Linked DNA regions of Rhinolophus ferrumequinum. Each later gene encodes a partner of the first gene's protein in a complex. Links are inferred from orthologs where the notes say so. Each region holds a gene or a part of one and is shown in the gene's direction. Other genes may lie near its edges.

Region 1 (15,586 bases):
GCTTCACATGGCTATGTAGAATTTTAGACAAGGGTCAACCAAATCCCTGTGTAATGAGAGGAAACATGGTGATTGACACGTGAAGTTAGAGAGTAGAGCTTTTAGAAATAATTTTGAAGATCAGTTGGTGTGCTGATTTTCCTGTAGGGTTCTTTGAGAATCAGGCCAGGTCGAGGCAAATTCTCAATTCTGAGTATGATGCCTTAGCATTTACAACTGTGAAATCTGCTCTTATGTGATATATTGTATTATTATTAGACTGTTTAAATATCTTGAATGAAAGGTATTGGAATTGGCACTGGACGTGTACGCAAGTTTTTGATAAAATAGTACTGTAACTTTACCACTGATGACAAAAAATTATAAAAATGGCAATTAGTTTTACACTAAAATATCAATTCAAGTAGGAGAAAAAAATCACCTATAAAATTTATCAGTTGCTATACCATATCGAAGTCATGTAATAAAAGTAAAACCACTGCCATATAATCACAATTGTTTAGGACAATACAACTCAGAGCTGGATCCTTCTCATTTGGTTCTGACTTCTGGCATTTATCTTCACTTCCTTTGTGAATAGAGCCACACTGTTAAGTTCATTCATACATAAACTTCTTTAAGATTTCAAAGATTTCAGTTTATCCTTTTAATTCTGGCTCTTTTATTTAACAATTTTGCCAAGGAAAGTAGAAAATAAGTTTTGAGATAAATGTAAATACCTTACAGTATATACTGATTTTCACCTTTTAAACTCTTCTTTCCTTCCTTTTTTCCTTTCTTCCTTCCATCCTTCCTTCCTTCTGCTATTCAATCATTTGTTCGCATAGATATTTGAGTACCTACTTTGGTACCCAGCTCTGTGTTTGGTGCTAAGGAGACAGAGGCTATGAATGGATTTCATCCTCAACTTTGTGAGGCCACAGTCTCATGCAATAGACAGACAGCAAATAATATCATATTATAACAATCAAGAAATGAACACTAATTTGCAACAGAAGGAGATGGTGACAAACTCTCAGAGGGAAATCTGGGAAACTTTGGAGAAAGAGGTACTTAAAACCTGGTAGTTCCTCAAAGACTTAAACAGAATTACTACACGATCCAGCAATTCTATTCCTCCATATATACCCAAGAGAATTAAAAATATATTGTCCACACAAAAACTTGTACACAAATGTTCATAGCAGCATTATTCATTGTAGCCAAAAAGTGATAACAACCCAGATATACATCTACTGATAAATGGATGTATAAAATGTGTTATAGCCATACAATGGAATATTATTTGACAATAAGAAGGAATGTACTGACGCATGCTTCAACTCATGGATGAACCTTGAAAACATTATGCTAAGTGCAAAAAACCAGTCAGAAAAACCACATATTATATGATTCCATGTACACGAAATGTCTAGAATAGGTAAATCTATAGAAACAGAAAGTAGCTCAGGGCTGGCGGTGGGGGAGGGAGGTGATGGGTGACAGTTAAAAGGTACAGAGCTTTTTCGGGTGTAATTAAAGTGTTCTAAAATTGGTCATGTTTACACCGCTCTGGGAACATACTAAAAGCAATTTAATTGTACCTTAAATGGATGTTTTGTGTGATATGTAAGTTGTATCTTAATAAAGCTGTTTTTATATTACATCAGTCATATATGCCAAGTTCTAAGAATAATGAATGCCTGGCACATAGCAAGTGCTACATGAGAGTTAGGTACTATTATTTAAAATGAAATTTAAAATGAGACCATTTTTCACTTTCCAGGTTGGGAGACACTAAATAGTTTAGAATGTCCACAACCAATGAACTCTTCTACACTGTAGGTAGAAATGTAAATTTGTGCAGTTTCATTAGAGGACCCAGTGGATTTACTATTAAAATGATAAATGATAGATATTTATACTTTTTGACTGAATAACTTCAAAGAATTTGTCTTTGTTTATTATAACGTGGTTAATATTATCAAAAGAACTAAACAACTATTAATAGGTGTCTAGTTTAATAAATGATGGTATAACCATAGACGTAAATCTTACATGACCATAAAAAGAAAGAAACAAAGGGGCCCTACTGCTTGATCTCATCTCCAAGGCACATTATTAGGTGAAAAAATAAATTTCAGAACAGTGCTTACAATATGCTGACATTACTGTAAAAAATAAGCTGTGAATATGTGGATGAATATACACACATGCACACATTTACAAACACATTTATGCTTGTAAATGCATATAGACTTTTCTAGAAAGATACACAAGAAAGGGAACTAGTTGCTTCTGGAGAGAGATTAGAGCATTGGAAGTCTGCAGTTAGAGAAAGACTTATGTTTGCACACAATTTTGTACTGCTTGAAATTTTGTCTTTTGTGGTTTTATTTTGGTCAAGAGTATATTATAGCTTTTATAACGACAAATTCAATTAAAAGGAAGAAGAGAAGTATATAAGGCCAACAGAAAGCTTCAGTCAAATGAAGTTGTCCTCCATTTCCCTAACTGGATAGATTTGGTCCAAGTAGACTAGATCATGGCAAGGAGGGTGTGTGTGTGTGTGTGTGTGTGTGTGTGTGTGGTGTGTCTTCAAGTTTCATAATTACTAAATCTAGTGAAAATTTAAAATAAAATAATATCCTGCTTTCTCTCCCACTTAGCACTGGATCATCTTTTACTCAGGGTTATTAATTCACCTAACAACTATTGACTGAGAACCACCTAACTTCTCAGTCTGATGCTGTGGGAAGTACCACAGAGGTGAGAAGAGCAATACCTTCCTTCATTGTTATAAATAATTTAACAAAAGAAACAAGAAAAGTTCCAATAACAATACAAGAGCTTAATGATTACTCAAGTCAATTGTTTCAAACCCCTTAAAATACTTTTTTTTTTTTTTTGATATGTTACAGTGTCCCTAGGAAGACAGCAGGGGGCACTTCAAACATGTCTGTGCTGAGAGTCAGGTCCACTCCTGTCAGTCTAGGGCTTTGATGATTTGTCTGAAGTTATCTCAGAACATAAAGCCCTCCGCAAAAAACATTCATGGTCTTGCATAGTAAAGTCATTAACTAGGTCTGATAGAAAGTCTCCTTCGAGAACTTAAGTTTTTAAGTTTTTTTGGTGGGGGAAGGAGAAAAAAGCTACTTATAAATAAACATGGATTATAAATCCAGGTTATCTGTGGGACATTCTTTTTAGTTTGTATTAGCTGTCTACTAGGGAAGGCCGGAATCCTTCTCCCCCTTGGCCTGTTGTAGCTTCTCTGTGACAGCATCTGTCTCTCTGGTATGTTCTGACGTGTCCCCCTTACCATAATGCCTTGTTCCAGGACAGGCCATTGCAATACACTATTTTTTTTTTAAATTCACTTTAAAAAAATTTGTATATCTTTTATTTTTCTTCACTTTATTTAGACAAATCTTTTAATTCTGATATTAAAATATGATTTCCTTCTTTCTCTTTGTTTTTTGTTTCTTTTGTGTTTGGAAGAGGGGAGGGAATGAATATCCCCAAATCAAGAAAACCAAAATCCTTAGAATATGTCTGGATTATTTAACAACACACTTTTATTATTTGAAGCAGTTCTCTCCACACCTCACAATTCCTTCACCCCCAAAGCAAACCGGGTGAAGGAAGGAGACAGTAACAAATTGGCTAAATATAATATTTATTTGTACTTTAACTTTTCCAGAATAGGACACCCAACTTTATCAATGGAGAACTATATTCCCTCTGAGTTTAATTGTCCCTTGAACTGCTACTTGGAATTTTTTCAATTTAGCTTTGTTGGGTAAAGAATCAAAGAGGCCTGCAAGATCAATAGCTCCACTTAACTACCCAGTAGGGCAGCTCCTACAGCTATGACCTCATGCTTATCCCCACCCTGTCACATCCCATCTCCATCCGGACACAGCTGGCGCTCCTCCTTGTTTACAGTTTAAGGCCAGGATATAAGTGGGTAGCAGTGGAAAAGTCTATGGGAATTTTTAGTAAACATCTTGGTTTTGTTTTTTTCTTATTAAAAGTCAAAATATTTTAAAAACCTTTTTATATTTATGATTTTGTATTTGTAAATTTCATTTGTACCAGTAATGCTCTTTTCCTACATTAAACATAATTTTTGCGATAGACACCAGATACATTTCAGTACTGATGCTCTTTTAGAGCCCAGGCATTTCATCATAGCTCTGCATGTACAAAACACATCTGCTTCCCAGGCTTTTCCGGTTTGCAATTACAGCAACATTCTAACATAACACATCAAATACATTTTCCTCCTTTTCTGGGATCACTAAAGAAAAAAAACACTGTATGAATTGTGGTTAGTGTTATTTAATCTTCCTTGAATTTTATCTTCCCTCATCTGTACAATGGGAATATTATTAAGCTCACCGTGTTTTTGTAATGATTACATACAGAAAGGATTGAAAAGTGCCCAGTGTGTGCAAATAGCAAGCCCTCAATCTAAATAATAGATAGATACTTAGATAGATGATAGAGGACAGATAGATGATAGAAAGAGATGATAGATAGGAAGGAGGAGAAACAGAGAGAGAGAGAGAGTTTCCCTACATGTGGAGTTCTGGAGTTTCTGGCAGTCTCTTTAGGTATACACAATTAACTTTCTACTTACGTCATTTTAAACTCATACGAGGAGAAGACGTCCAGTCATGAGTACTGGTTTGCTGAACATCTATAAAAAGCTTAGCCTCTTTTAAACTGAAACTTTTTAAGTCTGTTACAAAGGAAATGTCAATTACAGAAACCGTCATACCTCACGGTGTGGGTGATCAAATAACCTTGCTGAAGCTTGGATGAGGCGCCTCGCTAACGCACATGCAGTCTGGACTTGGAGGTCATGTGAGCCTCTGCACGAGAACGCAGGCATCTGATCGCTCCGAGAAAAGCCAATCAGGAGAGCGCGCTGCCGCCACACCCACCGGCCCACCACCTGCCCTCGCATTGGAGCCAATCCATCTGCTTTTTCCAACAGGCTGAGCTGCTGTGAGTTAATTCTTCCTGGAAATCTCTGCAATTCGAATGCACATGCAGTGTAACACTAGAGGCCATGCCAAAACCGGTTTCATGTGTATATTTCATATTCATATATATGAAGAATTACTCTAACTCTTGATTGCTTTGAATTTGTTATCTGTTAACTTGAGAAATCATTTTAAACATATAGCAGACTTCCCTCAGGCAATCTTCTTGCAGTTCTCTGAAAGGCACAGAAGTGCTGATGGTTTGGTTGTCTTAGCAAATGATTTAAAAAAAAATTAATGTGTGAAAATAGACTGCATGAGTATTTTATTTAAGATAGTAGGCATTTTGCACTTTTGTTTATATGTCATTTAAACCTTGACCACACACAATTGTACTCACCTCGTGTCATTTTTTAAAATTAGACTTTACTATATAATTTTTGGAGGACTGTCACATCATAGTTACTCATCACCTGCATGGTCTGTTTTGCCACTTCTAAAGTTCTTTTGAGGGGATTAATTCTTGGCAGGTTTCAAAATTCCTCCACATGCTCTGTGAGATGAATGTGCACAACATATTGTTCAATAATTGCAAGACAATAATACAGGACAATATATTGTGTTGTGCCATTTAATGCATCAACTTAAAAATAGAATTCTATTCTATAGAATAACACACTTTGAATTATATGGGTATTATCAGGTGTATTTCATTTTTGAGAAAAACTTTAAATGTGAGCCTCGTTTAAATCATATGGACTTTCATCCTTCTAACATACAAATGAAGATTGTGTGTGTGTGTGTGTGACAGAGAGAGAGAGAGAAAGAGAGAGAGAGACAGAGAGAGAGAGAGAGAGAGAGAGAGAGAGAGAGAGAGAGAGAGATGGAGGGAGGGATGAGTAAAAGGAAGCAATAAAGATGTTCAGAGAAATAATCCAATATGGACAGTGAATTGAAGGTTTTTATTTTTGAATCTATTTCTCAGATATAAAGTGAAGAGTATAGAGTTAAACTGTCCTTTCTGACTAATGCAAATCCTTTATACTTAAAAAGACATTTGAGAGTATTCTGAGCATTTTGGCAAAAATACAAAACAAAACAAAACAAAAACAACAAAACAACAAAAAAACAATTTCCCACGTGATTTCATTATTCTTATTATTTTTACTTACATACCTTAATGCATCTGTGTTAATAGCTTTATTAAGATATAATTTACACACCATAAAGTTCACTCACTTAAAATGTACAAGTTAATGTTTTTTTAGTATGTTTACCCAGTGGTACAACCATTGCCATAACGTAATTTAAAACATTTTCATCACCATTCCCCCAAACTTCTCCATTCTCCACCCCCAACCTCATTCTCCAGCTCCAGGCAACCACCAATCTACTTTCTGTCTATAAGATTTGCCTATTTGTGGATATTTTATATAAATGGAATTAAATCGTACAATACGTGTCTTTTGTGACTGGCTTCTTTCACTTTGCATAACAATACAGTTTTAAATTATTTGACCTCAATATTCTGCCTCTGAGAATAAAATGTTATACTTGCATTCTTTGATGGGTTTGAGTATAATTTGCACGAGGCAAAACTTAGTAATCAGAGCAAGAAGGCTTTTCTCCACCACATCAGCTAATCCATTTTGCCAATGTTAACATACCAGATTGTTCAAGCGCAAGCTGCAGAAAACCGTGTGTTTGTGGATCCCTAAATTGATATTGTCCGGGAGAATTTTGGGGAAAAAACCCTGCAAGTTACAAACAGGGTCCATCAAAAGAGGAGTGGGTTTAAGCATCCCAAATGTAGTTTAACAGCTTTACTTGTCCTCCGTGGAAAACTGGTGGTTGCGGAGTATTTAATATAAATCCACATAAACCTGTGTTTGGTGCTTGTACAGGGGGCCCTGGAGAGCCAGACCCCTTAGGAAAAGCAAGTAGGAAACACAGTGAAAGCAAAATTTCTCTCTGCCCTTTCCCCCTCTTCTCGCTGGCAGGGTTGATCCTCACTACAGTTTGCTCAAATATTTGGAAGTGAATTTAGGGCCCTCCCCCCAACTTATGATTTTATAGCCAATAGGTGATGAGGTTTATTTGCATATTTCCAGTCACATAAGTAGCCGTGGAGTGGAAACAGTGTCAGACTCGATTCCTTCTCCTCCGAGGAAACCTGCCACTTCTAGCTGCCCTGCCCTCCCTTTTAAAGGGCGACTTGCTGGGCGCCGGACCGCGGCTCCAGCCTACTCCTGCCTCGGGCTCCGAGGTCCATCAATCTGTCCGCGCTTCTTCCCGTGACCTGTAGCTCCTACAGAGAGGGACGCGCTTCGAGATGGGGAGCAAAGCGCTGCTCCTGGTGGCTCTGGGCGTGTGCCTCCAGAGTCTGACTGCCTCCCGCGGAGGGCTGGCCGCCGCCGACAGTAAGTTTTGCGTGCACACTCCGCTCCTCCTGTAAACTCGGCTCAGTGGCCACTTCCACGCATGGTGAGGATTCGAACGAGAAAGTCTGAAGCGGGTGCAGATGCGCTCCGGAGACTCTTCCAGCCCGAGTGCGGCTCCGGAAAGTCATCGGGGCGGGATCCGCTGAGAGAGGGGAGGGAATTGTCCCTCCGATCTCGCTGGGGCAGCTCCTAGTTCCCGCTCTCTCGCTCTCTCCGGGTTCCCGCGCTGTCCCCTCCGCTCTGGCGGAGGCCGTTCCCTGGCGCCCGGGCTCGGCCGGGAAGGGACGGGGGGAGTGTGAGGGGCGGGACGAGGGAGGCGGGAGGAAGGGCCCAGATGGCGGTGACCGACTGGAATGAAAGGCACGCAGGCCAAGGTGACCCTGGCGTGGCAGCAGCTGCGGCTCGGGCCCCGCCTGTGGGAGCGCGGGCAGAAAGTGGCCCCTTCTCCGGGAGAAGCAGGAATCGGGCGGGAGGAAGGGTTGCCCGCATCCTAGAGGCACAGGATACCCTCACCCTCCGCGTGCAGATGGGAGTGGGGGACGCGCGACGCGTGGAGCGGAGGTCTGGGGACGCGGCATCCTGCACGCGTTCCGGCGCCGGAAGTTCCCCACCTTCCACTCTTGCACGCTCCGCTCTTCTTAGCGCGCAGAAAATCTAGCGAAGGGGTGACCCTCTTGAAAACGTGGCCGCTGATCTAGGGGTTGCACGGTTTGCACTTGGCTATCCATACCGTCCTGTGAGCCGAGTCCCGTTCGGGGCATCGCCGGGAGGCTGCGGCTGAACTCGTCATCGCCGGGGAGTCGGGGGCGTTGGAAGCCAGATGCAAATTTCTTTAATCGCGGTGTGAGGTGCGGGGCAGGCAGACAGGTGGAGGGGGATGGTGGTGGGAGAACCAGCCCCCTGTCCGAGACCTGCCCACAATAGAGACAGCCTGCTTAACTTGAGCCTTGGTTCAGCTAATATACAACGGCAACTTTATAAAAAGGCAACTGAAACAAGTCATGAAAGGAGGCAGCATTTTCTTTTCTCTTTCCTTCGTGGAATTGCAGCGAGGGCGGTGTCGCTTGGATGCGCCTTCAGGCGGCAAGTTCGCAGTGGTTCAAATTATAGTCGAGTTTGTCCGTGACTTTTACTGTAGCTGAAAGTTTACCGCAGTACCGAGTTGTGGGAAAGAACATTTTTGTTAGGTTAAAAAAAATGTGGATTCCATGAAAGCTGAATTGGATAATAAAGACGAGTATCTTTTCTGTCAGATCGGTTTCTGTCAGGGCTTCAATTAGAAAGTCTTAAACTTCTTATGTGGAGGCATGTTCCCCTTGGATAGTATTTAACGCTGTCCAAGAAGATGGTAGGAACAAACTCCAGATTCTTATTTTTAAAAGTGCACTATAGTGTAGTAAAACACGCACAAATATGTGCCAACCACAGTTTAAGTTTTTGCTAGGCTCCCTTAGAGGTTCAGGACCTTAAATTCCTGGGCTAGTCAGTGTCACCTTTCCGAGTTTGGCTTCCTCAACTCTAAAATGAAGAGTTTGGACCAGACTCAGAGTTCTCATAGGCCCCTCTAAGTCTTACTTTTTGATTTAAATGGACACTTACGTGATTCATGAATTAAATTGGATTTTAACAAACACATGCTTTTCCCGACTGTAAATGTATTAAAGGAGGAATCATTTTTTAAGTAGACTTGAAATTAATCCCTTGTCTTTCCCTCCTACGCTCACTCCACACAACCCCTCTTTATAGTGTGCATCTCCCGTCACAGCAACTTTCGGCTTCTTTTCTCCTCCAAATAAGTTTATTTAAGATGTAAGAATTTCATAGCCGAAAGCTACAGGTGTAAGGGCCCCTCCTGTGGGCTCTGACTTTACTTATTCTCAGTTCATTGTAAGAAGAATATGAGGATAGGAGGCAATGCCCTCAGGTTCCTTGTTCTTGGAGCCACCACAATCTCTGTGTGGCCTTATCAGGAAACTGGAAGAACTAGGAGATGGAATGTATGGGTCAGTACTCAGTAGTTGCGGTTCTATTTGACTGGACTTAGTGAATTTCCAGACTAACATCTGAATTAAACATGATGGATTATGACAGCAAAATAGCAGATACTACTTGCAATGGAGCAGAGCTCGGTGAGGGAGTGATTGATAGACAGCTGTATTGGAAGAGTTACGTGGAAAACTTTCACTTTCTTTCAGGCAGTGTATTTTTAGCTCAGTCCTCCTTTCTTGCTTTATTCTGGGAGGAAAAATTGGGCTATACAGTTTACTGCTTCTATTTTTACAAACATTTTTTTTCCCCTACAAAAATGAAGAGCAAATCTGCTTGTTAGGTAAGTCAGGAACATTGTCTGCATTGGAATACCTGAAAAGACCAATCGGTTCGTCAGATAACAATACTGATTTTTTTCCCCCTCCCCAAACTGTTTTGTTTTCATCTATTCGACTTGTTTCTTGGCATTCTACAGAAGCTGTTTGAGTCAATAACTGTGCCCATCCATCTCAGAGAGGATGTGAGTTAGGATAGAGTCCTTTAGGAGTTGTGTGTGTGTGTGTGTGTGTGTGAGAGAGAGAGAGAGAGAGAGAGAGAGAGAGAGAGAGAGAGAATAGAAACTTCAAAGAGAATTGCATTACAATTGAGCTCTTATACCTCATGTCTTATAAATGTCAATCTTATACATCTGATAACTGAGCTGCCTTAAGAGTGTCTTTTCTGGGATGCTTTGTGCTCCTTCTTTTCGAGCATCAATAATATACCCCCTATAAATTTATCCTTAAAGTGCTTTTGACTTCTCAGCCTAATTTCATTCTTGTGAGTTATTATCCATGTTAAGATAAATTCCTTGTCTTTATGTACACACTTAGAGTTTTAGCTACCTATTTAGAAATAAAGATTACATAGTCAAAAAATGCATTAACTAGTAATTTGCCTGGTACCCCAAAATCTCCCCTTAGTGCTTAATAAAGGCATATTAGGTGGGGTCAGGTTGGCGTGGTGGTGCTGAATTCAGGATGGAGGCCCTTAGGAAGGAATACACCTTAGGTAACCCCCTACTTCTTCTTTCTTTTTTTTTTTTTTTACTATGCTAAGATGGCTTTAATTTTTAAGGGGACCTGGGAAGAGGTCCTTATCCCCTGAAAAGAATAAATGCAGAGTCACTAATATCATTTCCATGTGTGGAAACAATAATTTCCTTAGTAACAGCAAAGTCAAATCAGTTCATTTGCTAGGCAGGAGCAATCCTAGAGTATATTGGGACAACTTAACATACCGACTCACAGTCAGGATCCATCTATCTCCCTATCTCTATGCAGCCTACATCAGTTGCTTGAGGGCTGTAGAGGTTTGTAAAGCACATTTGTCTTTAGGATGCTGAGACATCCTTGAGGGGTTACAAACACCTGTAGTGTGAAAATTCCTATCAGAACACCAGAGGGAAGGAAAGACTGTCGTTTATGATTTCATATATTGAACTGACATAGAATTGAAAATCACATACTATATAGAGTAGGTACTGTTTTCCTGTCAAAGGCTTCATTAGGCTTTCTATAACTTAAAATGAAAAATAACTTCCTTGGAAAGTGAAATAAAAGTCTCCAAATACAAATTTGCTTGAGAATGTATGAATTTCCCATTATTTTTCTTTACAAGCTATGTACCCAACATTAAATGTTGATTGCAGGAAACTGGAGCTCTCAATGAGCCGTATAGATAATCTAATACAGGATCTATGGATTGAAGAGAGAGAGAGAGAGAGAGAGAGAGAGAGAGAGAGAGAAAGAGAGAGAATGTTCAAAGCTAGCCTTTATAATTACAAATAATATTCTTAGTAATTTCAAAACCGTCAGCACCACCAGGGCCACCATATTGTATAATTCTAGGGAAAAATAGACTAAAAGTGAGTGGAGTTGTGCAAAGCAAGAGTCTTCGTATCCGTTTGGCAAGTAGGTGGTGGGTGAGATCTGTCTGCCAGGTTGCTCAGATTATTCCTGCTTTAAAAAGACTGCTAATCGAACATGTTAAAATAAGACCATTCGCAAGGAGGCATGAGTTATTTGATGTGGAGAGATGTAGGTGAAACTAATTTAGTTTTAAATTTTCTGAAGCATTTTCTAACAAGAAAAGAACTTCTTGGGTATTTAAAGCAGAAGCAGATTAAAAATCTACAATATTTTTTTCCACTATCAGATAAATAATAAGGCCACCAGTGTGCTTTCCAGTTAGGAAGAAAAAGGAAGACCGACATCTTCAAATAGTATGTAAGGCAGAGTGTATTCTTGATGGATAAGTGGACTTCAAGTTCAATTTTACTATATGGAAAAAATGAAAAAAAGCTTTAAATATCAATAGTTTACTACAGTCTCTTATTTGAACAAATTATCTTAAGAATGTTTAAGTGTTAGAGATGTGTGTATGTATGTGTGTGTGATCCACTTGCTGCATATAATAAATCTCTTAGCAAGTAACCACAATATTATTTAAGGAATTTTGAAAAATAATTAAAAAGGAAAATATTGGCCAGTTCTCAGGTAATTATATGATAAGGTTGGTTCAGATGACTGTCTTTCCTTATGTCATTCTTATATTTATTTTCGGCCTCCCTTTTGCAATGTTATTTGAAATAACAGGTTTTCAACCTTTGAGCTATGAAAAGTGAGTACATTTAGATAAAAAATTAGACGTATTTCTAAGCAACTTCAGTTACTTATCTTCTGAAAATTTTAAATAATGAAATCTAAAATCTACAAGTTATTACCTTCTAATAATGAATAGATAGGTTTTTTTGACTTTTTTTTACTTGACAAAAAGTTCAATCATTTTCCTTAATATAACTTCCCTTTGACTGTGCTTGCTTTGTACAACAGTCCGATTTCATCTGCAATACAGTTTTAGTGTTCACTCTGATATGATATGTACTGTCTACAAATACCTTGTGAAAATTTATCATCATTTAGATTTAGTGTCTGGAGAGAGATAAACTAAAGTTCTCTTTCGCCTCTTACTCATTTTGGGATTAACTATGAAGAACCAAAGTGAATTTTTCCCCAAACCAGCTTTGCAGTAGTTTTTTAAGTTCTGACTGTGTGTGGAAGACTGTGAAGATGTAAGTGGGAAAAGAACTATTTGGGGAAAGAGTTAACTATGGCACAGATATAGCACAGGTATTTCTGAACAATTCACTAAGTGATTTTTTTTTTTGAACATTTTGAACGGATGTGTCTTGCCATGGGGGTAGGAACCATTCCATACAAAAGCTTCTTCATGCCACTAGCTTTTCTTATTGCTAATATTTTTAAAAATTGTGCTGGTGAAAAGGAGACAGTCTTTCCTCAAATAAGACTTATTGTATCATATTAATCATATTATGGGAAAACATTCCTTTGATGTAATCCAGGATTTAAAAAGGGTGAAGTGATGTAGGAAATACGTGGAACTATATCATGTGATCACCATAAGAATGAGCTTTGAATTGGAACCGAGAGACCTGGGTTCTGGTCCCTACTCTCTCTCCCACTATTAGCAGCATGACCTTGATCAAGTCGTATCTTGAGATAAGATTGAATTAACTAAGGAATTTCAAATAAGAGTTACACATAGACACACACATACACATACACACACATACTGACTGAAGGAGAGGATGGAAGGAGAGATCAATATTGCTTAACTCAGAGTTATTTTAAGGCTGTCTCTGTCAACTTTGGTTACCCCTGGAGGATCAATCATTCTCTTGCAATCCACATTCATTTTTTTTTAATTTTAGAAATAAAAATAGTATTGGTGGTGGCTACTTATGAACCTGAAACATAACATTGCAGCAAATAAAAAAAAACACCAAAAAAAAAAAACCCAACCCTCCAGCTAACTTCCTATTCAATTTTTCCTTCTCAGAAATTATGGGAGGAAATGATTTTATGGACATTGAAAGTAAATTTGCTCTAAGGACGCCTGAAGACACAGCTGAGGACACTTGCCACCTCATTCCTGGAGTGACAGAATCTGTGGCTAACTGCCACTTCAACCACAGCAGCAAAACATTTGTGGTGATCCATGGCTGGACGGTAAGAAATGCTCTTTAGGAAGGAGTGGATTGGGGTGGACCCGGCATCCTGCCCAGCTTGCCCTCCATGTTGGGAACCCAGTGATGGGTCTCCACATCCCATACTTATGCTAACTTTCTGATGGCTTTGCTTTAAAATGGAGTGAAGGCAATTCTAGCTCGGGCTGAAATTGTGGAACCTAAAATCCCAGGTTCATGAGTACTTCCTCCAGACAGTGCCGACTTTCAGACCTCGTTTTACCACAGTCCCTAGTTAGTGCCCTCGAACCAGCTATGCCTATGACGTGGAAAACCAGGCTTTGCTCACCTACAGAGCAGAATGTAGATTATCATTCTGGGAAACTGGTGGAAACCTGACACGATGTAGATTCATCCAGCACGTCACCAAATGTCCTTTTGTAAGGAAGACAACCTGTGAGGGTAAGGAGAGGGCTGGAGTGGAGTGAGGAGGTGTTGGTTCCAGTCCTGGCTTTGCCATCCTCCAGTTCTGTGATAGGGATCAAGCCACTTCTCAGCCCTGGGCCTCAGTTTACTGATCTGTAAAACAAAGAGGTCAGACTAGCCGTCCCTCCTCTTCCAACAGTCTCTAATTGTAAACTTCAGGGAAATTTTCTAGAGATGAAAGAGGGCTAGACAGGTAACTGTCATGAAGATGATTAGAAAAGATGCAACGGTTGTTAATTTTATTTTAAAGTATATGAATAAAATAGTTCTCTCTAAATATGCCAGATGGTCACTCTACGTGATGCAATTCCTACTTAACCGCTATAGTTGTGTTTTAATATTTTAAATTTCTAGAGAGCAGATTTTATTATTTATTAAAAAGGACATATATAAAATGGATGGTTAAAGAGATATTACCTTTCCATTATGTCAGAGCTTGTGAATATGGTAATAGACACTAATTCCTAAAGAGATGAATTAGCTAATGGTTGATTTACTTCTAGTCCTGTTACTGACCATAAAGGAAAATTATGATAACTTTTATGGAGATGAAGGCAACGTCAACAGAATTTACATGCATGTTTGTTTTAATAGAATACATCTATTTACTCATGTTAATATAGCAAATTACATGTTTTATGATAAAGCACAAATTCCTAACATAAATCTTTTCTATATTTTAAGAGATTTAAATAGGAAAAATTAATCTTTAGTGGTTTCAGAGGCATTTTGGTTGTACCTAGAACTTGGCTTTTAATACTTTTCAAAAAAGTTTAAGCTTAATCAACACTTCTATGACGGGAATAAATTGAATACCTCAGTCTTATCCCTGAGAGAATTTTGTACTTGAGGGATTTGTTTTTAGAAACATGTTTCTTTCTCACACTAAGATGATACAACTAAGCCAGTATCACTAGATGATGCTCTTCCTTTCACTGGTCCTACTGTGCACTAAGCCCACTTATATTCTTCACATTGTGGTCCTGCCGTGTGGAGTGCCTGGGCTCAGAGGCTTGGCCGCTGGCCGGGGGACTGAGTTTCACTGCACAGAACTGGTTGGTCTGTTCAATAACTAATCCGGGATGCTGGATAACTGACCTCAGCTTATCTCAGTGAACGCCCTGGCTGATTCAGTTGGTCTGTGTGGTGCAGGTGGCAAAGAGGGCTTCACTTCAGCGACATGTCTGAGAATCAAAGATTTTAAGAATGGGTACTGATTTCAGGAATCTCAGAAGAAAAATCTAGAAAATAATATCTTTTCAGAGTTAAAGAAGGTGGGTACTTGAACTCCCCACCCCTTTGGGCTACTTACAGCATTAGGTTTTCTGTTAGGCAGTTAATACAACTATCAGTCACAGTAGGAGTAAGTTGGGTTCCTTGCTTTTGACAGGTTGCCTAACTCGGAGACACTGCTAGTGCAGAAAAACTCCTACTAGGGCCTTAGAGCAAACAAGATTGTCTTGCCTTATCTGAGGTAAACTGAGTGGCACAAGGGACAAACTTCTGCAGCTTTGTCATGAGCAACCCAAAAGAACGCTTAGTGTGCAGTGTGCATAGGACATCTCACAGAAGACAGTGTAGACACAGCTGTGCTGGAGCTGTGCCACCTGCTTGGGTTTCACAGACCCATGCTTTCAGCACGGGGTTGTCATTGTGATGTAGGAGGTCCT
Region 2 (15,421 bases), on another chromosome or scaffold:
GGTCCCCCAGGCAGCCCAGCCCTCACAGCCCCCACAGCCCACCTGCTCTTTCTCAGCGCCTCATTCCCTGCTTTCTGCCAGGAAGCTTCTGCCCCCCACACCTAGGTATGGACCTAGGTCTCCGGACTCAGAAGTGACTTTATTTCTCTGTAGGTCATGCCCTCATAGCTAGGCTGTTGGCTGGGCCTGGCTCAGTCTGGCTTCCCTCAGAGACCTGGAGGTCCCAGCCCCGCCCCCCCCCGCCCTCACCCCCGACTTCCTGCCCACCCGACACCTGATGTTCTGGAGATGTCCTGCTGGCTAGGACTCAGAGCTGGTGGAGACATGGGGAGGGGTGAGGGCCACAGATGGTGGAGCCAGGCCAAGGCTGCCTCCAGCCCCAGCCAGGCCAGGCTGAGGAGGGGGCAGCCACAGGCTCCAGGGGACAAGCTCAGAAGCCCTGCAGGAGGGAGGAGAACTCAGGGCCCAGCCCGGAGGAGGGTGGGCCCCAGGCTGAGCAGGAGCCCTCCGGCCAGGGCCCAGGGGCTGCCCCTGGCCCCGGACACGCCGTTGCACAAATCTTTCTCGCAGCAGTCCACGTCTACTTTTAAGATCCCAGAGTTAATGAAGCCCATCAGATAATCTGAGAAAAAATGCCGCTTAACAAAGTCGCAGGACGAGGCACACATCCTGTTCACGGAATGGTCCTTCCTGCCTGAGGAAGAAGGGGAGCCTGGGATTGGAGCCCCAGCTGGGCCCTCTGCCTCGTGCCCAGGACCCAGCTTGGGACCCAGAACAGCAAAGCTGAGGCTCTCAACCCACCCATGCTACCCCAACAACGTGGAAAGGGCCATGGAGGGGCCAGGGCAGGACAGGCACCTGCTCAGTGTCACACAGCAGGCCAGAGGGGCTCAGAGGATCCCCAACCTCTCCCCACCCCGGGCCACGTCCTGACTTACTGCTGCTGGGATCCGTGATCCGGACGCTGGCACACACCGTGTCCGATGGCTGGCACTGCTTCGGGGTGCAATGGCTGGAGTTGGTGGTCAGTGTGCAGTCCTGGCACCATAGGCCATGAGCTGGTTGAGGCCCGAGGAGGAGGATGACCAGCGGAACTGAAGGCCAGGCCGGCCAGCCCCACATCCTCCCCACCTGCCTGCTGCAGGCGCTCCTCGGACAACCGTGCTGCTGTGGGGGGGTGGACACCCTCCGGCCAGCAGTGACCAGGTCAGACTGGCACCTGGAGGGCAGGCCCTGGGAGAACCTGTGTCCCTTCCCAGGAGTCTGCAGAGAGGGTTCTACCACTGGGACTCTGGAAATTCCTGTGCCCCCTCCCGGCCCCCCCCAAACACAGCCACAAGTACCTCACACCTGTGGTGCCCTCCCACACACTCCGACCCCCTCATGCACTCACCCTCCCCATCCCAGAGTCCAACGTTCTAAGCTTCAAAGGACCAAACAGGACTTGATGGGCAGCCAGGTGGGGTTCTGAGAGTGATGGAGCACAGAACCTCTGCACTGAGCGAGGGACAAGCGTGCAGGACCAGTCCGGGTGCAAGGCCCAGGAGGAAAAGTGCTCCGAAGCCCGCAGGGACCCGCGTGGCTGGAGCTGGAGCAGTGCAAGGGAGGGAGACAGGAACTGGAGTCCCAGGGGCTGGGGAGGGGATGTGGGTTTGATGGGCACCATCGGAGGATGACGGCCCCACGGCCCCATCTTCCAGAAGACTTGGCCCACCTCAGGGCGGGCTGCCCCCAGACTCACCGGGCGCAGAGCACAGCAGAGCGGCCAGCAGCACCAAGCCAAGGCCCTTCATGGCTGCAGGCAGCATGCTCCAGACGGGCCTTGGGAAGACGCAGGGGCTGCGGGCGGGGGTCCTCTGGGGCGCAGGCCTGGCAAGGAGAAGCCTCGGTCAGCAGACCCAGCCCTCGGCCGAGCCCGAAGGACCCTCTTTTTCTGGCCTCCAAATGCAACCTCCTCGCAGGAATACACAGCGGGGTCGTCTGGGAGATCGCAAAGCCCCACCCCCAGCCCATCCCCCAGAGTGTCTGTCCATCATCACAGCATCTCTTCCAGCGAGAATAGGTACAACCCGAGATGTGCCCACCCCGCGCCCAGCACCTGTGGGATGGGGGGGCGAGATCGGGGGTGCGTCTCCTCCTCCCTGGGGAGCCGTAGGTGCGTCCGGAGAGAAAAGGGCAGGGCAAGGTGCGAGCGAACGGTACCTGCCGATGGGGGGAGGGGCGAGCGCCACGTCCCCACCCCCACCCCTGGGCTGGGGGGCCGGGAACCCCGCGCTGAGCCCCCTCCCATCGCCTGCCCTGCGCGCATCTCTGCGCTCACCGCTGATCAGAGCGTGGAGCGCAGGTCACGAGTCGGGGGCACACTCACATCCCTGGGGTGTCGGCACTCCGAGGCTCCGGGAGGCGCGGGGATCGGTGCCCTTCGGTCTCCCTGCGGACCGGAACCCGGGCGCAGCTTCGTCTTTCGGGGAACGCAGCCGCAGACGCGGACCCCGCGCGAGGGGCGGGGCGGAACTGGGGCGGGGGTTCGCGGGGGCGGGGGCGGCGGGAGGCGTGCGGGGAGCACCCGCGGCCCTGAGGTCCGCGCCAGGTAGCTGTCCCGGGCGGTCCTGTGCCCCTCGCCGCTTGACCGCTCGCGCCCACCCTCTTCGGTTCCCACTCTCTCCACCGCTGCTACCTCCCCCTACCCAGGCGTGGGCAGGATCCCTTCCCCCTCTGCTTGGCTGAGGTCCCCTTGATATTTCTCGGAAGAACGTTTACTGCGAATTGAAGCAAAACGCACAAAGACGCAGAGAGGAGGAGGGAGGGAATTAACGAGGGGAGGTACTCGTGCCTGTTCACAGACTCGCAGCCCTGGGGCCCCTCCCCTCCGCAACCCCATCCTAGGTTCCGATTGTGAGTGTTCGAGGCTGTTCTCCCTTGAACATCCATGACGATCCCCACCAGCAGCCGCAGCCCCGGGGACTGCCGTCTCCAACAACACTCACACCTGAGGGCAAGTCCCACAGCCTGGGCGGGGTATCAAGGCCATCTGGCCCCGCTCCGGCTGGGTTCTCAGCTTTGTCTCTCGCCTTCCCTGCTCACAAAGCTGTGGGTGTGCTCCGCCTTTGCACCTGCGTCCCTTGTGCCTGGAATCCGTCTCTGGGGCAAGTGTGGGGGTCCTTCCTTTCGTCCTGTCCTCATTTGTCCAGCAAATATTGATGGAGCGCCCACTATTGGCCTAGCGCTGCTCTGGGACCCCCTACAAGAAGATGAGAGGAGGGTATCTGCCGCCGCCCCAATCTTACATTAGACGGATGATGGTCACTTCTATGTCCCAATCATAGCCTTCACTGAGCTCATGCATGTGCTCTGATCCCTGTGTGTGTGTTATCTCATCACGGTCTCACAACAACCCTACCATCAGGTATTGTCATCATTCCCATTTTATAGATGAGGAAACTACAGCACCCAGAGGTTGAGTTCCCTGCCATGGTCACAAAGTGTGTGTGACAGTGACCATGAGATACAGCCACGTTGGAACCTAAGCCCTGGGCTGCAGAACCTGAACACTTCACTGCTGAGCAGCAGGAGTGAAGGCAAAGGAGGAGATGGACAAGGGACCATGACTTGGGAACGGGGATTTCCGCAGATTCAGCAGAACTCAAATATGAGCTGGAAGTCAAAAATCAGCAAACGTCCAAGTGAAATAGCCTCCAAAGTGAGACACAGCAGAAACCGTGGTGAGTGACAGGTTTAAATTCCCACAAACTTTCTAAATCGAAGGTATCATATATAGAATATTAAATCAAACTGTTTCATAGGTTTAAGATATATTAAAGGAAGGAACACTATTAAAACTGACCATGCTTAGCTGGAAAAAAAAAAAGAACCTCTAGGAATGAAAAACCTTTCATCGAAATTAAAAGATCAGCAGAAATCTTGAAAAAATTATGCTAAGTGAAAATAAAAATAATAAAGAAGCATGTACTGTGTGGTTTCCTTTGTATGAAATGTCCAGATTAGAAAAATCCAAGAGACAGAAAGTATATTAGTGGTTGCCTGGAGCGGCGAGGAGGAAAGAATGGGTAGTTTCTGCTAATGATCAAGGGATGTCTTTTCAGGTAGTGGAAATGTTCCAAAAATAGATAGTGAAGATGATTGCAACAAGTCTGTGAATATACTAAGAACCACTGAGTTGTATACTTAAAAAGGGTGAATTTTCCAGTATGTGAATTATATTTCAATAAAATGGTTGTAAAAAAAACTCAGCAAATGTGTTAGGCAGCAAATTAGACACAACAGAAGAGGGAATTTGTGAACTGGAATAGAAATCTGAAGACATTATCAAAAATGTAGCACAGGGATAAGGAGATGAAAAATAAGAAAGAGAAGTTAAGACACACAAAAGATGGTGTGTCAATAGCTCATATAAGACTGGTTGAAGTCCCAAAAGGAAAGAGAGGTCAATATTTGAAGAGATTATGCCCCCAAATATTTCAGAATTGGTGAAAAATAAGTATTTACAGAGAAGCATGACTAAATAGAATAAACAAAAAGAAAACCCACACTTAGGTACAACGTAGTGAAATTGCAGACCACCAAAGACAAAAGATGATATTTTAAAACAACCAAAATAAAGGGAGATCAACTCTAAAAAAAAAAAAAATAGTGGCTACACTGACAGCACAATTTCAACAGCAACAACAAAGGCCAAAAGACAGTGTAATGATATCTTTAAAGTGTTTGGAGGAAAATAACTGGGATTCACACTTACATCAGTGCACGGCGAGTGAAGCAGATTGCTCTGCATCGTGCTGGTGGGCCTCACTCAATCAGTTGAAGGCCTGAATAGACCAAAAGATTTTCCTTGAGCAAGAGGGAATTCTGCCAGCAGATGGCCTTCGAACTTGAACTGAAACATTGTCTTTTTCTGACTCCTGTCTGCTGGCCCACCCTACAGCTTTTGGACTTGCCAGCCTCCATAATCGCATGAATTAATTCATTAATTCCTTAAAATAAGTCTCTCTCTCCCTCTCTCTCCCTCTCCTTCTCTCTCTCTCTCTCTCTCTCTCTCTCTCTCTCTATATATATATATATATATATATATATATATATATATATATATATACACATGCCACAGGGATCTTCTGACATGTCAGTGAATGATGTCCGTCCCTTGCCTCAACCCTTTCTGTTCCCATTTCTGCAGACATCACTGACCACTAACCTTGAAGCCATTCCCAAGCTCTTTTTCCTTTGGCCAAGATGCTGTGAGGCCACAAATAATGTTGTTTTAAGCCCTTAAATTCTGGGGTAATTTGTTATGCAGCAAAAGATAAGACAGGTGGTTGGGGCCTGGCTAGATATATTGGGGGCAGGGGGCAGATGCCCAGTGTCCAAAGAGTAATGTCCAAGGAGTTGGGGCCAGTCCCTGGGGAATGCAGCTTTGGGCCTGCTCCCCAGAGAGCAGAGACCGGTGCTCTCCCACTCTAGGCTTGGTTGCCAGGGAAACAGAGATTCCTATTCTGGTTTCCAAGCTACTCTGCCTTCCTCCCTATGTATGTGGGACAGTTTCATCCTATTAGAATTTTTGCAAACAAGAATACCAGTCCATCCTGGTTTGCAAAAGAAAGGGTTTTCTTTAACGGAATGAGGGCAGATCATGTCACTGTGTGGCTTGGGCCCCTTCTGTTTGAACAGTCCCTGCAGGGAGCTGGTGACAGCTGGCCTTGACCTCCCTTTTCCCAGCTTGAGCTGCCCAGATGCCCTGATCCTGGGGAGCAGGCACTGGGTTCTCACCCTACTCTGTGTCGTTCTGACTAGTACCCACAGCGTGGGGCGACTCTATGGCCATGGCCCAAGTCTCACATTGTCCTCAGGATCCAGGACCATTGGCAAGCCCGACCCATAGCAGAGCCAGGTGGTCAGAACCAAGGACAGCGTTAGAGGCTGCTGCTCTCCAGCCATTGGCTGCTGAGCTTCCTGTGCTCCCGGGCAGAGGGGACAGGTCTCTGGGTCAGGCCCTGACCAGGAGAGGGGTGAGGTTGGGTCACGCAGAGATGTGTAGCAGAGCTTTCTCCACGTATTTTTGGCTGTCCTGGATGATGTGGCTGCAGGCCTTGTTACGAAGAAGGGCCATTTCTCAAAAGACCACCTGGCCTCACCGAGAAGGCCATGCAAGGGTCAACAGAGATACTCTGTGTCATCCACACAGCGATTGTTTCCTGAAAGGTTGTCAAACTCTGAGACGGAGAACATCCCTGACTTCCAGAACAGTGGAGGGATAGTATGTGGGCTGGGCTGAATGCGGCACCCCAAACGATATCCAAATCCTAACTCCCAGACCCTGTGAATGTGAGCTTATTTGGACAAAAGGTCTTTGTGGATGGAGTTAAGGATCTGGAGATGGGGTCATCCTGGTTTTAGGGTGGTCCCTAGATCCAATGTCTGGGAGGACAAAGAGACAAAGGACAGGGAGCCCTGTGGCAGAGACACACAGGGAGTGTCCATGTGAAGACAGAGGCTGACATTGGAGTTTTCAGTCAGATCGGCTTCAACGCAAGCCTAGCTCCTTATGGGGCTGCCACCTGGCTCCTGGCAGCCAAGAGCTCAAGGTGGCAGATCTGCTTCCCTGTCCACAGTGTGTGGGGGACATTCCCTAAGGTCCTGGAAGCCCCCATCGTAGGGTGCCGCACTCCTCTGGGCCTGGTGTCAGGAGCCCATTGAGACTGTACTGGGAAAGGGGAGGTGTCAGCAATGATGTCAGACTTGAGCCCCCTCCCTGGAGCTGAGGCCCCCTGGGGTGATGGGTCACCAAGAGGAGAGGGATGGATGTTTGGGGGACAACCTCAGTGTTGGCATTTACCCAAAGGCACGGAAAACTTGTCCACACAAAAACCTGCACATGGACGCTTAAGCAGCTTTACTCCTAACTGAGAAAACTTGAAGCCGTCAAGATGTCCTTCAGGAGGTGAGTGGATAAACTGTGGTCCATCCGTCCACACACTGGAATAGTATTCAGCACTAAAAAGAAATGCGCTGTCAGGCCGTGAAACGACAGACGTGGAGGAACCTGAAATGCACATGACTGAGTGCAAGAAGCCCACGTGACAAGGCCACACAGTCTATGGTTCCAACGGTACCCATTCCGGAAGAGGCAACACGACGGACACAGTAACGAGATCGGTCATTGCCAGGAGGGTCCGGGGGGAGAGAGATAAACAGCTGGAGCACAGAGGGTTTCCAGGGCAGTGAAAATCCTCTGGCATGAAATTATAATGGTGGGTACACGTCATCATACACGTGTCCAAATCCACAGAATGTCCAACACCAAGAGTGAACCCTAATGTGGACCATGGACTTGGGGTGGTTGCGATGTGTCGGCGCAGCTCACGTATCACTCTGGTGGGGCACGTTGATAACGGGGTAGGCACTTCGGGGGTGGGGGCGTATATGGGAATTCTCTATCTTCTCAATTTTGCTGGGAACTTAAAATTGCTTTGAAAAAAATGTCTGATTTAAAAAAGAGAAAGTTTAAGAACTGAAAAAAACATCAATGCTAGCCTGGACATCTGGGACTGAGTCAAGGGCAGCTCTGAGCCAGGCACTCCTCTCCCAGGCACCAAATCTTCCTCCATAAAAGGAGGGGCCAGGACTAGCTCACACTCAAGGTGCACCAGCTCTAACATCCTAGAACTTCGGACACGCTCCCACCATCGCGTGGCCTTCCTCCACCCCTCTGTGAGCTCCCTGCACTGCCTTTCCAGCACTGGCATGTCTGTGTTTTCTCCCTTGCTCACCTGCTGTCCTGGGTGTGGCCATCTCCAGGCACCGGCAAGTTCCACCGGGGCCAGTGGGGACACAGGGACGCCAAGATCAGGCTGCCCTCCGGGAGCTCCAGCCTGGTTGGAGAGACAGGGCATCAGCCATCCTCCCCAGCTCTGTGTGGGGATCAGCAAGATGAGTGTCAGGGTTCAAGGCACTTGGGCTGAGCTGGAGAAAGGGGAGAACAGGGCCCAGGGTGTCAGCGGAAGGGTCTGTCCAGCTCAGCGGCCAGGTCTTGTGGGGGCCAGAGGTGGAGTCTGGTCCTGAGCCTCACCAGCCCCGGGTACTGGGGCCAGAAAGCCAGGTCAGGGCAGAGCAGCACAGATGGGCAGGACACCCAAGGCCAACACTGACTTCCCTTCCCCTGGGTCCCTGAAGTCCAGGAGGGAAACTGTCCCATTGTTTGAGGCTGGAGCTGGGGGGGGCCAGGCCCAGGGGCTTCCAGGAAGCCCCCAGCAGTACTCTTTGTCCCATTTCCCACAGATGCAGAGCCCCAGCAGGACAAAGTGAGCAGATCCAGAGCTCCTGGCAGGATGAAGGTGCTCCCGGCTGTCCTGCTCGCCCTGCTGTTGTGCAGGCAACCAGGTACTTGTGGCAAGGGGACGACCCTGCAATGACAGCGGACCTCATAGTCTGGGACCCCATCCTGGGGACAAGACATGGCTTGGGAGAAAGGGGGATGAGGGTGCAGTCTGAGGCCAGAGGGAGGTGGATGGGGGCTCTGTGGGCTCCCATAGGTCCCCAAACCTCTACACTTCCAGCCCCGGCCCACTCCTGGGGGACACAGGCTCCCCTCCCCACCAGCCCCAGGCTTGGCCTCTCCGAAATGCAGGCTTTGGGGTGCCCTCTCCTCTCTCAGCCTCAATTTCCTTTTCTGTAGAATGGGCAGGCTACCCTGAGGGTTCAGAGGCGGGGTGACGGGCAGCTGCTGTAAAGGGCCGGCCACAGCCGCTGGGGGTAAAGACAGTGCCTGGTCATAGTCAGGTACGGGGCCAGGGCCTGTGGAGACCCAGACAGCGACCTTGCCTGTGTGGGAGGCTGCAGGCAGGGAAGGACAGAGGGATGGGAACAGGCCGGATCTAGGACTGGGGGCTCGGCACTGGGCGCCGAGCGTGTGTCCTCTGCACCTGGACAGCAGAGGTTTACCGGCATCCCTGCGTGGCCAGGGAGAGGGCGGGCACAGGATGAGGATAATGACGACTACTTTGGCTATGACGAGGACGATGAGGACGACAAGGACGACAAGGATGATAAGGACGACGAGGACGACAGGGAAGACGAGGCAGGCAGCGGCGGCAGAGGTACCTGTCCACCCCGGCCCCCACCGTAGGCATCCGTGCCCCTCTTTCAGTACTTCTTAAGGGTGCCCCTGAGTGCCAGGCTGGGTGTGGGGCTGGAGTAATGTGGACGCACAGGCAAGGGCCGCCTGTGAGCTTGCCTTCCAGCGGGGCAGGGAAGGGGGTGAGGAGGGGACCCCGACACTCAGCACACCCCTCACCTCACTCACCCTGGCTGTGCCCTTCAAGTGCCATCCAGGGTAGGGAGCCTAGAAGGAGCTCCTACTGGGACGGGCAACGGTGCCTGGGCAGAGAGGTTGAATAGGGGTTCACCAAGCAGAGAGGGGCTCAATGGAGCCTCAGGATGGAGAGAACAATGAATACAAAACCCTGGATGTTGAGTCATGAGCAGAAAGGCCCTCTGGAGCAGGGCAGGGCAGGGGAAGGTGGGCTGGCCCTGGGTCAACGGGGTGGATAGGCTCCTGCAGGTGACAGGGAGCAGGGACAATGGCTTAGAACAAAACAGAGTGAGAGATGAGACCCACGCCCCACCCCTCATCGTGACATGGAGGCCACGCTTCCTCTGTCCCATACCCGAGGATAAAGCCAAGGGCGTCACCAGCATCCAACTTGCATGGCCTAGGGCTGCCAGCCCAGCCCTGCCCCTTACACCCCCAGCATGCCCCCCGCCTCCACCCATACCCTGTGGGCTCTCTCACCCCAGGCCTTGGCTCTGCAGGCCAGAGGAGGTGTGGAGGGAGGCTCTGGCAGGGCTGACTTTGTGGGCATCAGCTGAGAACAGCAAGGGGAACAGGGAGTGGAAGGAGGTCTCGGCGGTGAAGAGGCCGGACTCGGACTCCCGGGTGAGCTGGGGGCTCCGAGGACTGTGGCGCTTGGCCTGAGCCCCCCTTGCCACACAGGATGGCTGCAGTGCTACTCCTGCAAGGTCTTGCATGAGGAACAAGACTGCAAGGAGATGCGGAGCTGCCCCCTCAGCCAGCCCTTCTGCAAAACCTTGAGCTCCCAGGGGAATACTGGTGAGCAGCCACCCTGGCACCCGGAAGGCACACAGCCCTCGGGGGGCCTCATCCCTGCCCGGGCCTTTCCAGTGTGACACACTCTTTCTCCACCGCCCCCACCAGAGTCGGGTCCTTGGACTACCTACTCCGGGTGGTGTGCAGACACATGTAAACCTTCCACCAGAGAGGTAGCCGAGATCCTGATGACCACAACCTGCTGCCAGACCACCCTGTGCAACATCCCACCTTGGCAAGGCCTCCTGGCCAGGGGCGCAGGAGACCCCCAGGGCAGCCCTGAAACTGTGGCCGCCGCCTTCCTTTTCAGTCTCCTCACTGGCCTGTGGGCAATGGCGTCCTGACTGTGGCCGCCCCGCCCGTGTCCCCCCCGCCTGTCTTGTACCCTGGTGGGCCAGCACCCTGTCCAATCCTCCCCCTCCTGCCCCTCTCATCACCAGCAGCTCTGGAGAATAAACTTGGAGTGCCTTTAATGACTCAGCCCATCTCATTTCCTCGTTTTCCCCTTCTGGCATCCTTGCCCTCTTCCCACGGCCCCGGTGGCGGGATGGGCAGCACATGGGCCTCAGGTCCAGGCCTCAGCCTCTCACAGGGCAGGTCCACAGGCTTAGGCAGAGAAAACACGCACTATATGCCATTCCCTCCCCAGCTTCCCACCTCCATCCACTCATGTGCCTCCCAGCCCACCTGCAGGAGGCTGTGGGTGGGGACCAGGTGGCATGAATGAAGGGCGGCTGGAAGAGCAGGACAAAAGGGTGAGGCAGGAGGGTCGGTTAGGGTGGGACTCTCCAGCCAGCCCCTCAGCCTGGTGGGCATAGGTAGAGGGGAATGGTGGGGGCAGTGTGCTGAGGGGGGTGAAACAGGCCTGTAGGTTCCTGAGAAAAGGAGCGGGACAGTGGGAGAGTGCTGAGTAGGTGAGCCCAGCCCTGCCTGTGCCAGGGGGTGGCCCAGGCCTTGTGGGTCCCCCAGGATTGGCTCTGGCTGAGTTGTATGGTTGGCAGCTGGGCACTTGGCCTTCTTGACTGCACCAAACTCTGCTTTCTCACCACTTGGTGCCAGGACAGAGCTCTGTGCCTCAGTCTCCCCATCAGAGCAGTTATGGAACAAGGCTTAGAGGGCCCTTAGATCCCCACCAGCTCAACATCCCTGGGTTGGGAGGTCCAGAGCCCTCTCCTGCCTGTCGCCTCCCCAGCAGGAAGTGTAGCCTTCCACTCTCCATTCTCCCCTTCCCTTAACGGAAACCTCAAGATCTAGCAGGTAAAGGTGGCAGGCTTCTTCCCCTTCCTCCTTCCTGCTGGCTGGAATGATGGCTGGAGCTCAGCATCCACATTGTACCATGAGGCAGCATACTGAGAACAGCAGGGCCGCATGGAGGAAAGGGCCTGGATCGCTGATGACCTGAAGCCATTCTACCATCCCTGCACTGCCTAACCCAGAACCCCATTACCTGGGAGGGAAATAAACTTCTGCTGTGTTGAAGCTAGTTATTTTAGGTTTCTCTGTCACTTGCATTTTCACATACTCTCACACACACTCATGGACACTCGCTCACAGACAGCTCCTGTTAAGTTACATCAGATGAGAGCACAGCTCAGGGGTCATGCTGCCTGGGTTCAAATGTTCGACCCATGCCCTCCAGCTCACATTCCAAGTGAACATTCAATCTCCAGGTGAACCCTTTCACCTCCCCAACTGGTTTCCTTGTCTGCTAAGTGGGAGGGTAGGTGAGCCCCCCAGTAGAGCTGCAGGGAGAATAATGAAGTGCCACATGTAAAGGGCTTAGAGCCCACGTCTGGCACAGTACGCTTAGCAAACATGAGCTATTGCTGTCAACACGACCACGATGGCCCTGGGTGCCACCTGTGTGTATGGTGGTGGGATCCCCCACCAGAGTCCCTTACGATCAAAGGAAACCTCATTAGCCTCACCTGCCTGCGTTAGGAGCACTGGGTGCTGTCACCTGTGTTCGCAGAATTCTTCCTTCATCCCTTGCCTTAGAACCTGGCAGAGGTCTGAGTGCACATACCCCACCCACCACACTCCCCAAAGATGACCCCCCTTTAAGGCCCTTGCATCAGATGTGAGAGGGTCTGCGAGCTCAGTCTGAAGCCATAGGGGCTGCCCTGGCCGTGGGCTCCTGCTTTGGGAACATCCTCTTCTCCAGGGTCCTGGGGCCAGGCCGGCAGCTGGGGCCCCAGTCCTGCCCCTGGGGAAGCAGAAAGCACAACCCCCACTCATCACTGGGCTCTAAGGGGGACCTGTGGGCACAGAGGAGGCAGGGCTCAGGCCCTGGCGACCTTCCAGAGCACACACCTCACCCCAGGCACGTGCAGGTGTTTGGCCTTCAAGAGCCTGATGCTGGAAATTTCCAGAGCCTGCTGGCCTTGGGTAAGGGCTCTGTCCTGCAGCTCAGATGCTGCCAAGGCCTCCCGCCCTTTCTCAGTGTGACTTGAGGGACCCCAAGACAATAGAGGGGCCTGGAAGTCCCCAGGGCTGAGACACATGCAAGTCCTCCAGTTTGAATCAGCCACTTCCCGCTGTGTGACCTCGACAAGCTGTTTGTTTAGTCTCTGTGTGCTCAGGTCCCTGCTCTGAGCCCTGGAGCTGGCCCTAGGTGGCGGCTCGGCTCCTGTGGAGGCGTCCTTTCTGTCCCTCTTCCTGGCACTGGGCCTGCTCTCTGGTCCTGCTCCCTTCAGTGACCCCCCACTCATACCCACTCGTTCCTAATGGGGAGGAAACGAATGAGCCCATGGGGCTGAGGGACCCCTTCCCAACCTGCCTAACCACCCCTACCCTGGAACCAGCTCCTGGAGCCCCCTCAGGGCCCTGTGTCCCCCACCCAGGGAGGACACTGTCTCCTTCCCTGCTCTTCTGGGCCCACACAACCTGCCAGCTGGGACCAGCGGCTTTGGGGGGTCCCATCCTGGCACAGACCCTCCCTGGGCACCCCTCCCCTGCAGCCTCCGTCCTCCCCCCAGACCCTGGGTCCCCTCCCCTCCTACCATCCACCACACCCGTTTTTGTCCTGTTTGCCCATGTCCTCCCCTCCTTGGGTCATCTGCCATTTTCCGCTGACTGCACCCCACCCAGGCTTGGCTCCTTGGGACTTCCTTCTGCCGGCACAGGAAGCAGGTGGCCGCGGGGCGCATTTCCAGTCCTTGTTCTCCACCATGAGAATGGGATGAGGATGAGAGGATGACCCCAAAGCAGGGCTTTCCTGAGGATGGAGATTCCGAGAGGCGCCCTCCTCCCTCGTGACCGTTGGGGTCTGCAGGGGCCCTGGGACCAGGGACAGGTCAGCACACTCAGGTCCTACCCGGGACCTTCCGGAGCAGAGGGGAGACCTCGGGCTCGTGTGTATATCACAGGGCTCCTGATTGCAGAGAGGGTCACATCTGGTCCAGCCCGCACTCGAGGCGCTGTCCAGCACACAGGCTTTCTGCGTCGGGACAGGCACCCGAGGGAGAAGTGTTGGGGCCCTGAAAAGCTCGTGGGCTGTGCTCAGGTGTACTGAGCGGGAGCTGCCCGTGGGACCAGGGCTGGCGTCGACCGACCTCCGAGAATGGAGCCGGGGGTGGGGATGGGGGAGCTGTGGAGGAAGTAACGCGGAAAAAGCCTCCACTCGTGGTTCCCCCTTATTCACGGTCATCATTCTTCCCAGAGAGAAACCTGAGATAAGGAGGGCGCGGGGGTGAGGGATGGAGTGCAGGAGGGAGTGAGGGGGGCATAAGAGTGAATGAGGGGGTGTCGAGGTGAGTGAGGGGGCGAAAGGGTGGGCGAGAGGGAGGCAAGACTGAGGGAGGGGCTGTGGGACCAGAGTGGGGTGGGAGGAGTCTGCTCGGGGGCGGAGCCCATCGCGGCCGACCACCGAGAGGCCCGGGGACCTCGCCTCCTAGAGCGGCACCGGAAAGGGGCGGGCCCGGCAGCAGGACCTTCCGGCGGGTGCCGAGGCCGGGCTCTCCGCTGGGCAGCCCCCCAGGGCCGGCGCAGGAGGCCTGGGGTGTGGCGGGGCTTGGCAAGGGCCCCGCCCAGGGCCCCTGCGAGGGACGCCCGCGCCCCGCCTCCAGCCAGGGACAACCTGGGTCCCTCCGGTGTGGCGTGGGCCCCCGGCCGAAAGCATCGGCTTCCCGCTCTCGAGGCCAGGCGCGGCGGGCAGAGGTGGAGGCTGCGCGAGGACTCCGTAAAGGCGTCGCCCCGGGCCCTGCACGCGCAGCTGGCGAGGCTCTGTCGTCGGCGGCGGCGGCGGCGGGGCGCCTGTCCCTGGCCTCAGCACAGCTGCTGGCCGCTGCAGGCCGGGGCCCAACAGACTGTTTGCGTCATGTTGGCCCCAACAATCCCCTGGCATGGGTGCCTGGATCTCAAACCCACTGGTAATCCGGTCTCTCCTTGAGACCCAGGCTCCTGGAGGGAGCTTGGGTGAGTGAGTTTTCCCGGAGCCCGGCTGCTGCTGGATACCCAAAGCTGCCTGTTCCGAGAGGTCCGGTCCAGAGAGCAGAGGAACGACACTGAAGTTGCACAACAGGTACCAGCACCCAGCCTTGGGCCAGAGCCCTCCTCTGCTCCCGCATGTGGACGGAGTTGCCTGTGTGGCGGTAGCAGTCACCGGTGTCTACAGGCCTGTGACACGAGGGGACCAAGACGATGACCTCTAGTCTACTCCGTTTTGAACAACTGTTTTATTCCTTGGTGTGCACGGCATGTAGAGAAGGGAGTAAATCCAATCCCTGCCATTAAGCACCTGCCACCTTGAGCTGGGCGGACAAAATAATTGGAAGGTTTCCTGAGCACCGATAAGTACAGACTCTAGACAAGTAACTAGAGACGCAGGGACAAAAAAACATGCTCCTTGCTCTCAAGAACTCTGCCTCATAGGGAGACTGCCACATCAGTGACAAGCCACATGTGGAGTGACAAGAGTCCTGGTAGGGGGCACAGTGCTTGGAGCACAGAGCAACCCCACACAGGCCTCAGGTCGCAGGTTCAGGGGCCGAGTGGGGTGGACATAGGGCCCAGGTGAGTTTGCACCTGCCTTGCAGAGCGGCGACCACCAGGGCACCAGGGTTGATTGCGCTTACGTATTGGTTCGTGGTTTTCACCTCATTTTCCTCCCAAAGCTAGACCCCAACTCAAACTCCTGCCTGCTTGACTGGTGCTGTGTTCCTCGGCCCTCGTTGCACCCACCCTCCCTAGGACACATGCCCCCTTCTTTCTGCAGCCTCCCCTCAGCACAGGTGACCTTCCTTCATCTTCAGTCTGGCTCCCACCTGATGCTGAGAATGGCCTCCTCCCAGAAGACACATCCAG

The links.
Region 2: the proteins of LPL (region 1) and GPIHBP1 are in contact, whole or in part, in a crystal structure (PDB 6OAU), measured with the Homo sapiens proteins. The link is inferred for Rhinolophus ferrumequinum from reciprocal best matches to the Homo sapiens genes LPL and GPIHBP1. Residues at the interface, in NP_000228.1 of Homo sapiens: Tyr367, Gly368, Thr369, Ala371, Glu372, Glu374, Leu403, Met404, Lys406, Lys430, Lys440, Ile443, Cys445, Ser446, Arg447, Glu448, Val463, Lys464, Cys465, His466, Asp467, Ser469; in NP_835466.2 of Homo sapiens: Cys68, Lys69, Ser70, Leu92, Ala94, His95, Gly96, Asn97, Thr98, Glu99, Ser100, Leu103, Thr104, Thr105, Ser107, Trp109, Cys110, Thr111, Asp112, Ile117, Lys119, Val121, Glu122, Thr124, Val126, Met128.

What each region holds. Positions count from the first base shown.
Region 1 is NC_046301.1:52,060,734-52,076,319, forward strand, and holds the start of LPL (lipoprotein lipase), read left to right. Parts: upstream 1-7,016; 5' UTR 7,017-7,305; coding exon 7,306-7,393; intron 7,394-13,303; coding exon 13,304-13,473; intron 13,474-15,586. UniProt on the Homo sapiens protein: Key enzyme in triglyceride metabolism.
Region 2 is NC_046297.1:72,416,974-72,432,394, forward strand, and holds GPIHBP1 (glycosylphosphatidylinositol-anchored high density lipoprotein-binding protein 1), read left to right. Parts: upstream 1-8,289; 5' UTR 8,290-8,339; coding exon 8,340-8,391; intron 8,392-8,972; coding exon 8,973-9,107; intron 9,108-10,003; coding exon 10,004-10,120; intron 10,121-10,225; coding exon 10,226-10,461; 3' UTR 10,462-10,579; downstream 10,580-15,421. Other genes in the region: LY6H (lymphocyte antigen 6H), read right to left, coding at 459-694, 939-1,058, 1,742-1,869, 2,369-2,431, 4,757-4,758.